3 linked regions of the Xenopus tropicalis genome follow. The protein of the gene in region 2 purifies or fractionates together with the protein of the main gene of each other region. This does not show direct contact. Links are inferred from orthologs where the notes say so. Each region holds a gene or a part of one and is shown on either strand. Other genes may lie near its edges.

Region 1 (3,652 bases), on a different chromosome or scaffold from region 2:
GGAGCACTGGCAGGTAGGAAGAAGGCTTTGAATATGTTGGGGCTGCCTCTACATCCTCTTAAGCCAGTAAGTTACTGTTGGCTATTGATGTGTAGGTAGTGTTTGCAAGCATATACAGTACTCAGGGTTGCATTGTTGGTAGTCCTGGTGCTCCTGTTTTATTGCATTTTTAGTATACACCTGCTTAGCGCTGCTTACATTGTGCTTCTTTCCCATACACATGGCTTCAACTCCTGCAACAGATTTCTGGAGGAAAGGATGGTTTACAGAAGCGAGTACTAGTTTATTTTTCTCCCTTGTAGCGTCATCTAGCACGCACTGCAGGCCGGTGGAAAGATCCACCTAAGAAGAACACAATCAATGAGCTGCAGGATGAGCTGATGACTGTTCGATTGAGAGAAGCAGAAAGGCATGCTGAGCTTCGGGAGGTCAGGCAGCGAATGATGGAGATGGAAACACAGGTACTGCAAAGGCACATTGTAATGGTTGTATATTAGTTAAAGTTGCACGAGTTCGAGTTGAAAAATGACAGTCTGTCAAGTTTAATATATATATATATAATACCCTGTCTACCTTACTTGTCATTCACATGCACAAACTAGAGAGCAAAAATGGGTGCAAGGTACACAGACCATTGCAACAGGAACAAGGGCTTTGTGCATGAACCCCTTAGAGCTGTAGCTCTTGTGCATAGGGCAAATGGTAAGGAGAGAGGCCCATTGCGTTTTTTCTTTTTGATGCACTTTATTTTAAAAGTGAACACTAGAGGGCAATGTTTAAGCACAGGCAGACTCAAACTGCCGATAGAATTACTTATCCTCAGATTAATTACGTGGGACTTGTACTGAGAAGATTGTTTTAAGAGCTGCTTAGAGAAACCATTTCAGACAACATTGTTTCTGGATTCAGATCCAGGACTGTGGAGAATGCAAACAGTCAGACAAATATTGCTTTATAAACCACTGAAAGGGTGTATGAAATGTATATTTTATAATTGCTTGGAATTAATACTTGGGTGGAGGATCTCTTTAAGGCATTGTCCAAATTCAGTGGTACTGAGGGCCAGAATTTTTCGGACCTGCAAGGTGGAGGGCCAATAGTGAATGTCCATTTTGGCCACTGCCTTTTTTAAACCACACCAACTTTAAACCATGCCTATGTTAACACAAACATTTTTAAGACCTTATCTTCTATAATGGTGGTAGCACCCTAACGTCCAAAACACTTCTGCCCAACTCCAAAACTTTCTAGATTCTATAACCGTAACTTTCCCAAGACTACATCCAACAATATATACTCTCCTAGATAGACCCATAACAGCTGGGGCCATTCAAGAGACAATCTCATCAATGGCATCCTGTAAGGCCCCTGGGCCTAATGGCCTTCCAATAGAGTGGTTGAGGATGCTGGGCAAGAGAGCAGCAGGTACCCTATGTGAAATACTCTGTCATCCGAACAGGATGGCCTATTGCCCTTCTAAGCTAATGCCCTTATAGTTCTAATTCATAAGGAAGTAAAACCCCTAGAACAGTGTGTATTTTATCGCCCCAAATCGTTGACTAATGTGGATGCTAAGATATTAGCTAAGGAATTGGCCACCAGACTCAAATTGATTATGCAGACCAAACTGGCTTTATGCCTCACCAATCCACAGATGTAAATCTGAGGAGATTATATTACAACCTACAATTCCCACATGACAATTTGCGATCCAATTGAGTGGCCATACCTATGGGGAATCTTAAAACACTTCAGTTTTGGTAAGAAATTCTATATAGGGACCTTATGTCCCAAGTTCAAGCAAACAATTTTATCTCACCGGCTTTTTCTTTGAGCAGAGGGACAAGACAAGGGTGCCCCCTCTCTCCCCTACTTTTTGCTTTAGCAATAGAGCCCCTTGCTATATAAATCTGCCACTCCAAGAAACAATCAGGACTAAAATATGGTCCCATTGAAGAAAAAATATAGTTATATGCGGATGATGTCCTACTCTATCTGGCAGATCCAGGCCCCTCGCTATTAGGAATTTTAAGAATCTTTTCCTGGTTTACTATATTCTCTGGACTCCGTATTAATTGGACCAAATCGGTCCACACCAAGCGGCTGACCCCCACCTACAGTAGGTAAATACTTTCAAATATTTAGGGATAAATATACATCTTGCTCCCAAGCAATACATTTCTTTGAACATTACTCCCATCAATCAACTTGCAACATCATTAACTAATTGGGTATCTCTTCATTCTTTCCTGTGGAATAATAAGATACCAAGGATCTCATTTGCTATGCTGACTGCTTCATATACTAGAGGAGGGTTGGGTCTCCCAAACCTATACTTCTATTATTTAGCAGCCCAATTTAGCTATATCACTTGGCGGCTCACTCAGGTCTTTGAAAATCAAAATGTAGTACTTCAGGCTCATACTCTGGGCTCATTGGAGGCACTGAAAAATTACCTTTTTAGGAAACCCAAAGATCACTTTCCCCTTCCTCCCTGTATGAAGGCTCCAGTAGCCGCATAGCAAGCATCAAATGGTGATTTTACCCATTTAACATAAAATACATATGTATGTCACTGACCTTTGTGCAGTACAAAAGGCATGTTATGAGCAATACAAGTAATTTACCCAGGTAACAGAAATATAGTTTACCCACTTCTGTGGGTGAAGTTATGTCGTGCTTTCTGGCAAAAATATGTGTCTGTCTTCCTGATTTCCAAATCAGTATTGTATTTCAGTTTTGTTCTGTCTTTATTTCAGAATCAGATAAACAGCAACCAGCTTCGAAGAGCAGAACAAGAGGTCAGCAGCCTGCAGTCAAAAGTGCAGTACCTCACAGCCCAAAACAAAGGGCTACAAGCCCAGCTAAATGAAGCAAAGCGCAAGCAAGCAGAGATTGAGTGCAAGGTAACCTCTTTAATAGTCTTTGGTTCTGGTGCTGTTTGTGTAGTGGAGTAGTCCTAGTGGTACTGGCACAGGCAATCAGTAACCCTCTGTTTTGTAGTAGGGAGAGTTAAGAAGCAGTGCCTGGGGGGGACTACGTTTGAAAGAATTTTTGGATAAAATTAAGGGTGAACACTTGCTTGCTGTCCTTGATATTGGAAGTTGGCTAGTACAATGATATACTGTATTTTATGAGCTAAAGGGGCAAAGAACTGTTACTGGACCCTAAAAATGGTGCAAAAGCTGTTGTCCTTGTTCATTATGGCTAGTTAAGATTGGTTTTCTTTAGTAGTAAACTTCTACTAAATATAGGTAAATCCGTAGTAATGTTTAAATATTAAGGGCACCATCTGATAGTAGATCCAATTTAAGGCTGATCTACCATACAAATTTAATTGTGGTGGCATAAACTAGGCTCATAGACAGAAGTACCTCTAGAACAAAGTGGTTAAGGGGAAAGAAGAAAAGGCCTTATAGTGGTGAGCTCATTAAACAGAAAACAAAACTTAAAAGTGGAAGGAGACAAATGATTCACTGTGTGGAACCAGTCCTACTGACTGTAAAAGGACCTAATTTCTTATCTGTCGGGTGGAAAGTAGTCATTATGTGGAACAGAAGAATTGTTCTAGAATCAGACTTTAACTCTCACAGAAATCTGGTATATACTCTAGCTGCTGCTTCTACTTTTTTGCAGGGGGAGATCATGTTGA
Region 2 (4,401 bases):
CGTACTTGCATTTATAGCAAGGATGTCCTAAAATGGGCCACCAGAAGTCCTACCTTTGGTCTTTTGGCCAAGTTTAACACATGTGAGAGGGCAGCTACAGCACTGTATTCATGATGGGGGATTTGGGGAGAGGCACATAGGCTTCTGGGTAGATGGAGGGTATAACTGAGCAGCTTTAGATTCTCGGTTACCAGATAAGGAAGTGAAATCCCAGGCAGATGCAACAACATACCTGGCATAACCAGTTTCCCTGGCAGCTTTAGATGTGCCCATGCCAGGTGGGCAATTAGTTGGGTGGAGGGGGCTGTGTGCATGTGCAGTGAGTGACATGAGAAGGGCTTAGTGATGTAACTTGTGGACTCCCAGCAGTCACTCATGGACTCCCAGCAGGCCAACCCTGGGGAACGAGTTGACATCTCAGCAACCCTGTTTATATAATGTGCGGAGTTCATTGCCTACAGTACATAACTGGTATGCCTTGTGCTACTGCACTCCAGATAAACTTATTCTTACAGTACCTATGGCCTGCATAGGGAATCAGGGATCTTTAGCCTATGACTCACTTACTGTTCTTGAACTATAACTATCACAAATACCACACTACACTTAGCAGTGTAGGGCTACTAGCAGTGTAAGGTCACTGTTTAGCAACCGGAGAGCAAGAGGCTGGAGACCCATTTAATCTAGACTGTAAATTATCTCCATCTGTGTTAAAAGCAGTTCCAAAAAATAAAGCAGACACTTCTATCCAGAATGTTATAATGTAAAATGTTATACAGAACAGCATTAATGTATATAATCATTGTTGATATTTCATTAATAAAAAGTAATTGCTAATCAATTACATTTTTTCAAGCAATAAATGTGATATAAATCAAAATTTAGGTTCCACCGAGATTTGAACTCGGATCGCTGGATTCAGAGTCCAGAGTGCTAACCATTACACCATGGAACCGTCTATGAACACTTCACAACATACACCTTTAGAATTTTTCCATAGAGTTTTTCCTTCATATATCCTTATAATTATAGATATATTCATATTTGCATTGTCGGTTACTTTTCAAATAATCTCAGGTCCAAGTCTCCTCGTTTAAACACAATCTCTGTTTTTGTTCCACTTCTCACTGCGGCTGCCCAGCCCACCCAGCTTCAATCAAGGCCGCCATCTTACTACTCCCAACCCCTCGCCGACAGTGCAAGTAGGTGCGCACAAAGGCATTTCAGTTGATAAAACATGGGAAACGTGCAGCAACGTTGCTAGCAGCCCCTTTACTCATACATTAAGCACCTCCCGTTAGACATGAAAAGAAACATCTTGTTTGTCAGACTCGCACCATTGCGCTCAGTTGCCAGGTAACCCGGAAGTGACGGTTGGGCCGTTTCCGTGCAGGAGTGGGCGGAAGTGCTGCTCCTGTTTCTGGGAGGGGTTCGGACACTGCCGGGCTTCCTGGAGATCTGACGGTTGCTGCTGTTAGCCGCACATCGCGAACGTCAGAAGTACCGCGAGGATGGGTACCAGGGACGACGAATACGATTATCTGTTTAAAGGTAACCGGGGCTTGGGGGGCGACTGGCAGCCTCTGCTGCACACTCTGGAGGTTAAACCTCTCGGTAACAAGGATGTAGGCTGACGTTTATGGCGAGAATCACCGGCTGTGGTTGAACTTTAGGCTGTAGCCAAGCTATTCCCGCTCCAGCTGGAGCCTGTCAGGGCGGTGACACTGGGGCTGCTGGATTCCGTAAATGGAATAGTAGATACAGGGCTGGGAAGCCCAGAGTACATCGATCCAGGTTGTTACTGTGTGAATAGATCAGGTGATCAGGCTCCAAAGTGTGGGGAAGTGTTTTGGGGTCGTGAGTCAGTGAAGCATGGGAGGAAAGGAGGGTCAGTAGGGTGTTTGTGGCTACAAGGACAGGAAACCCTTTTCTTTTCTAGGGGAAGTCGTTGGGAAATAGAAATAGAAGGAAGTATCTGTGCTACATTTGCTACAGGGGCACAGAGACAACATTGTTTTTCTCCAGTGTTAATAAAATACGAAAGTCTGCCTGACAGCTGCCTTCCATCCATTGGATGGTGTTCAGTGAAACTCACACTTCCTTGGGTCATGTGACACATGTGACATCACTATGTGCCAGTTCTAACTCATGACCTCATAAAGCCTTGGCTATGAGGGTGTATTTAAGGCGGAATTCATGGCTTTTGGTGTTGTATTTTTATTAAAAGGGATTGATGATGTAGTGGGGTAATGAAGCAAAAGCATTTTAGGGTTCAGCTAAACTCTGGGAATATGGGGATACACTGTAACAGATTATCAGTCTGTGCCTAACTCCCCCCACCCCCCTGCAGTCCCAGACGTTGCTTTCCTCTGTAGTTGCACCCATGTCATTCTTGGGTGGTGGTAGGAATTGGGTGTGTAGTTCCTCTGTTTTACTCACTTAAGGTGTTTAACTTACTGAAGGTATATCCTTTAAGGGCAAGGAAATATCCCTGGGGAGGATGCTGAGTGATTCAGTTCAGTCACTTCAGACTCTGGGCCCTTCCCTCTCTTTAAAAAATGCAGCAGCCTGGGGTACTTTCCTTCTCAGTGTTGCACCGCCGCACTCTTCCAGTGCCCCAGAACCCTCTGCTCTGCCTGGGCAAGTTACAGGGTATGGCACAAAGCATTTTTGGACGAAGAAGAGACCTGGACTTGGGTTGCATTGTGTCCAGCTCTGCTTGCCCTTTATATCATCACATCTTCTCGCCACTTAGTTCTCGGGTTACCATTCTGTTTATTTGCTCAGTCACATACTTCTCTTACGTTGCAGCTGCCCAGTGTACAGACGAGCGCATTAGGTGCAGAATCTTCCCAGCAAATCCAGCCATTTCCACCACACTGTGCTTGGCCAATCTCTCTTAATTTGTTTGTGATGAAAGTTATAATTCAGCAACAACTGAACTGGGATCGGGATTGCACAAATTTTCCATTTAAGCTATTGGGATTTGCACTCTGTTGGCAGAAGCAGGATGAGAGTTGCTAATGGAGGTTACTAGTATAATTATTCACTGGGTTTGGGAGACATTATGGCATTAGCTGTACTTTCAGCTCTGCCAGGGTTAAACATTGGTGAGGCTGAGAAGATGGAGTCAGACTTTCACCCTGCAGGTTGTGTTTCGTTCAGGGTCAGTGGCTAAAGCACTGTTTGACCTCTCGCAAGTCTGGAATGCAGGGTGGGGTAGTGAGGAAAGCACAGGTCTGCACAGGATATTAATTCATCAGCCCCCACCTCCTCCTCTTTCTATCAGGATAGGACTCCCACTTGTCAGCTGGGCATTTTGCTTTGCCTTTATTATTTCTGTCTCTGAATCCTTCAGGCTTTTTGCCAAATCCTTGCTTATTTGATTTAAAGGGGAATTCCACCCACATGCTGGTATTTTTGCCCTTCATTGGGTAGAAGGGTTTGAGTGGAATTCCTTTTTATTTCCCAGAGGGCAAATTATTTAAGAAAAAATAGCTTTATGCAGAATTAGGTAAGTTGCTGTATATGAGGCAGTTTACACCCGTGGGCCAAACAGGCGTGGGGAATTAAAAAAGAAATGAAATTGCACTGTAATTGCCCTGGGATTACACATCCATTGGTTATGGTGTGTGTCTTGCTTAGATCTCAGCTTGTAGGAGCAGTTAGTGTAAGTGCTATGGCTATGCAGGAGGGTTTGGGGGTCTATGAATTCTGTATGTTCAGAGAAATGTTGCCTGGCAACCGCGTGTCATGGGGGCAGTTTGGGGCTCCTCAGTTTGTGATCTCGACCACCAGCATTAAATGCCGGTGTGCCAATGCCCTGTGCTGCCCGAGTTCTCTGGGCACTGTCACTGCGAACAGCACATACACTTGCACAAGGCTTGTGTGCAGATCATGGGAGACTTGACAAATAGTAGGTGTGGTAGGTGTTGGTGTTCCATTCACTTATCGAACTGGAAAACTCCCTTCTCCTTTACCCCCTCCCCAAAATGTAACCTGTTTTATTTGCAGGCCTCGTGCACATACATGTTTAATCCCAGGCAGGTTGGTAGGTTTCAGTTACTTGGCCTGTTTTACTCACAGCCCATTTGTACCCACTGAGCTTTATGGGGTGACCCAGTTTGCACCGCAGTGTAAGTCTTTTACTCTCTCCCTCTCTGGGTTTGACCTGAGTGGCACCTAAACCCATGTGCCTATAATAATCCTTCTCTTTATACTGGGTTATGTATGTACCATGCAGGCTTTCCTTGTGCCAGATGGGCACTGACCTGCATCCTCAGCTGGCTATATAGCTCTGCCAGTAACTTCCCTCGGGCACAGCTTTGTGGCATTCTCTCAGATTTCCTTGCCTGCTGTACTCGGCTCCCTTCCCACCCAGCTCTTGCCTCTCCTCCCTGT
Region 3 (3,652 bases), on a different chromosome or scaffold from region 2:
TCTAAAAGGACAGTGCATTCTCCCTTTAGATGAATAAATAAACCTGAGAGGAGCATGGTGATCTAATGTCTTATATGTTGGTAGTATAAATAAATGTCAGGAGCTGTTTTGTAGTTTACACAGTTAACTATGTAACTTATCTTTGCTTAGTCTGCAAAAGTGTTTTTAAATGCTTGATTGTGCATTTACTGGAAATCGAATTGCATGCAGTTTAAATTATAGCTTTCCCTTAGCTGAGTACAGAATCCTAATTATATAGCTACAAGTTAAATCGTAGCTAAGATATATAGTGTATCTATTGTCAAGATGAACAAATATATTTCAGAGTTCTTACAATGGTCTTCCAAATGCTCCTACAGAATTATTTCTTACTCTCATCATCAATGGACAAGACAGTGCGTCTGTGGCATATATCCAGGAGGGAGTGTCTTTGTTGCTTCCAGCATATTGATTTTGTTACAGCAATAGCTTTCCATCCAAGGGTGAGTCATGTTTCTGTGGTTTTCAAGATATTGTGTTAAACCCAGATTGCTTTCATTTTTTTTAAACCTGGCAATTTTAGGCTTATTTAGCATGTAACAGTTCTTCTGAAAAAAGCTCTGAAAATTGTCCCAGGAAAAAGTCTGTTCATTAATGTTCATGTCGATGGAAGCAGGTATGTTTTGCTAATATTATTGCTGTTGCACATGGGACAATTGTCATCATGGCAACTTTTGCAGAGAAAAATGTACCACTTGTGCCATAACTCTAAGAGGCATGTTTATTATTGTTTGGTTCAGTTGGTTCGACTTGTTGCCAAAGGGATTTTAACATGGTTTTTTGTTTGTTTTTTACCACAAGCAGGTTTTGGAAAAAAATAAAAAGCTTGCTACCTAAAAGCTGGTAGGATTCAGGCACTTACTCTCACATTCTATAACCTATTGCTCATGCCTGGAGGCTGAAGCTATATTAAAAATGCTCCTATGGGTAACTTCACTTATGGTTATTTTTAAAGTAGAGCCACCACCAGAAAGCTAATACAAATTTTTAATCAGTTGATACATGAGTAGAAATCAAGTTTATGCAGTTAGCAAATTTTAGGTCAATTTGAAGAGTTTTCGAATTTATTTTTGTTGTATTTAATTCAGTTTATGCTGTATTCAAAATGTAATTGTATAGAGCTTTCTCTCTAGGATGATCGTTACTTCTTAAGTGGTTCTCTTGATGGTAAACTCAGGCTTTGGAATATTCCTGACAAGAAAGTTGCTTTGTGGAACGAGATTGATGGACAAACGAAATTAATTACAGCCGCTAACTTTTGTCAAAATGGAAAACATGCAGTTATTGGCACGTATGATGGAAGGTGCATTTTTTATGATACTGAGGTAATCACTTTTTTTGATGAGGGGTGCTGGGGTATAATGGATTTAAATGTGACGTTACATTGGAAAACAGTATTGTTTTTAAGTAATATTGTTTTGTTTTCTCCTTCTAGCATTTAAAATACCATACCCAAATACATGTACGCTCCACGAGAGGGCGAAACAGGGTAGGAAGAAAAATTACTGGAATAGAGCCATTACCGGGTGAAAATAAGGTACGTTTTAAATTATTTTGTGACAAGCAGAATGAAGCTACTCACTGGCTAAACTGATAAATTATGTAGATGATATATTATTGCAAAATTAGCATCCTTAGCTAATAACATCTAAATCACATATACACATAGTACATGTTTTGTGCACTTAGTATTTATTCACTACATAATATTGTTATGATTGCATGTTGTCCTCCTAATGAAAATGCAGACAAAATTGACTTTTTTTCTATTATGTACTAATAGCAGCAATGTTTGTTTGTGTTTGGTACCCCATGGCAATCAGAAGCTTACTTTCAGTATACTGAAGATGTACACACATACATTTTTAATTTGGTTCCTGCACAAACACAATTTCCTTCAATATTGTTTAACTGTAGTCGTACACCAGACCGACCTGTGACACCACTGAGTATGTGTGGGGTGATCTGCCAGTGCAACACTGTAACAAAGAGTGCCTTAAACTTGATCCCAATTTAGCTATAATTAATCCTTATTGGAGGTTAAACAGTCCTACTGGGTTTATTTTGTCTAAATCATTTATAGTAGACTTACGGTATTGTGACAAATTGTGTAAAGATCCCAGGTCCTGAGCATTCTGGATGATAAATCCCATACCTGTAATACAAATATTGACAGAGACTCACACTTAAAGGTCTTTCAGTTCATTAAGTTAAGTATACATTATGACATTATGCACATCTTTTTTTTTTTTTTTTAGTTAAACATCCCAGTAATCGTGCTTCTTTCTATAAATATTTTTATACTAGAGCACACTAAGGGGCCCATTCATTAAAACACAAATTTCGGATTGTTAAAAAGCATGATTGGAAAAATTTCGTAGTAACCACAATAATTTCTGATGTGCGTAAATTGCGTGAAAATTTGTGTCGTGGTCGTACAAAATATTGTGGTTGCGATACGAAAGTTAGGAAATTTTTGTATCTGAACGATCGTAAAAGGCGCGAAAACCTTTCTGACTTTAAAACTTCAGTGCATGATTTTGGAAGCCTTTCATAGGACTCAATGGCACTCTGCAGCTCCAACCTGGCCAAAGGAAAGTCACGATACTGAAGCTTGAATGAATAACAAAATTTTTGTTGTCTTTGTGTAAAGTACGACTTTTTCGTAGAATAACGTATGTATCTCGAAAAAGTCATACTATTTTAATGATATTGTTAACAGTACAAATAGTTCAAAACTTTAAAATAAAAAAAAAAAAAGAAGAATAGAATAAGAATTTTTTTCAGTCGTGGTCATGCTTTAATGACTGGGCCCCTCAGTGTAATAGTAAAAGCAGAATTAAAACATAAATTCATCATTATAGTATAAACCCCCATTTTCAGTTTTTCAGGGGACCAGAAAAAAAATGGTGCAAAATCCAGGAAAATGTAAAATCAGGGAAGTTTATTATGTGTTATATATTAGTGGGACCACAAAACAATGGTGTAAAATGCAGGAAAACATTCTCCATATCATATAAGTTCATATACAACAATTTGCTATTTTTAGTTGCACTGTTTGCAATGTGTCTGTTGACAACCTGTGAACAGAAACATAGGCACAAAGTCCCTCTTTGCTTTGCATGCTTTGGAAGCATGTTTGGCTTTTTTTGTATTACCATTTATTTTCAAGATTATCATTTTAAAGGAACAGTAACACCAAAAAATGAAAGTGTATAAAAATAATTAATATATTATATACTATTGCTCTGCACTGGTAAAAGTTGTGTGTTTTCTTCCTAAACACTACTGCAGTTTATATAAATACCCTGCTGTGTAGCCATGGGGGCAGCCATTTAAATTGAAAAAAGGAGAAAAGGCACAGGTTACTAAGCAGATAACAGATAAGTAGTATAGATTCCCATTGTATTCTTCACAGTTTATCTGTTATCTTCTTATGTAACCTGTGCCTTTTCTCCTTTTTTCAATTTAAATGGCTGCCCCCATGGCCTCACAGCAGCTATTTCTATTAACTACAGTAGTCTTTCTGAAGCAAACACGCAACTTTTACCAGTGCAGGGCAACGGTACATTATATTTTAATTATTTTAAAACATTTTTATTTTTTAGTGTTA

What was found.
Region 1: the proteins of rab11a (region 2) and evi5 purify together in Homo sapiens (co-immunoprecipitation; 3 studies listed by BioGRID and IntAct, with this or other methods). This does not show direct contact. The link is inferred for Xenopus tropicalis from reciprocal best matches to the Homo sapiens genes RAB11A and EVI5.
Region 3: the proteins of rab11a (region 2) and wdr44 purify together in Homo sapiens (affinity purification with mass spectrometry; 3 studies listed by BioGRID and IntAct, counting the BioPlex papers as one, with this or other methods). This does not show direct contact. The link is inferred for Xenopus tropicalis from reciprocal best matches to the Homo sapiens genes RAB11A and WDR44.

What each region holds. Positions count from the first base shown.
Region 1 is NC_030680.2:104,390,688-104,394,339, forward strand, and holds part of evi5 (ecotropic viral integration site 5 protein homolog), read left to right. Parts: coding exon 1-13; intron 14-302; coding exon 303-461; intron 462-2,759; coding exon 2,760-2,906; intron 2,907-3,652. UniProt on the Homo sapiens protein: Functions as a regulator of cell cycle progression by stabilizing the FBXO5 protein and promoting cyclin-A accumulation during interphase. May play a role in cytokinesis.
Region 2 is NC_030679.2:116,824,770-116,829,170, forward strand, and holds the start of rab11a (ras-related protein Rab-11A), read left to right. Parts: upstream 1-1,461; 5' UTR 1,462-1,511; coding exon 1,512-1,551; intron 1,552-4,401. UniProt on the Homo sapiens protein: The small GTPases Rab are key regulators of intracellular membrane trafficking, from the formation of transport vesicles to their fusion with membranes.
Region 3 is NC_030684.2:67,156,659-67,160,310, forward strand, and holds part of wdr44 (WD repeat-containing protein 44), read left to right. Parts: intron 1-359; coding exon 360-482; intron 483-1,172; coding exon 1,173-1,364; intron 1,365-1,474; coding exon 1,475-1,576; intron 1,577-3,652. UniProt on the Homo sapiens protein: Downstream effector for Rab11 which regulates Rab11 intracellular membrane trafficking functions such as endocytic recycling, intracellular ciliogenesis and protein export.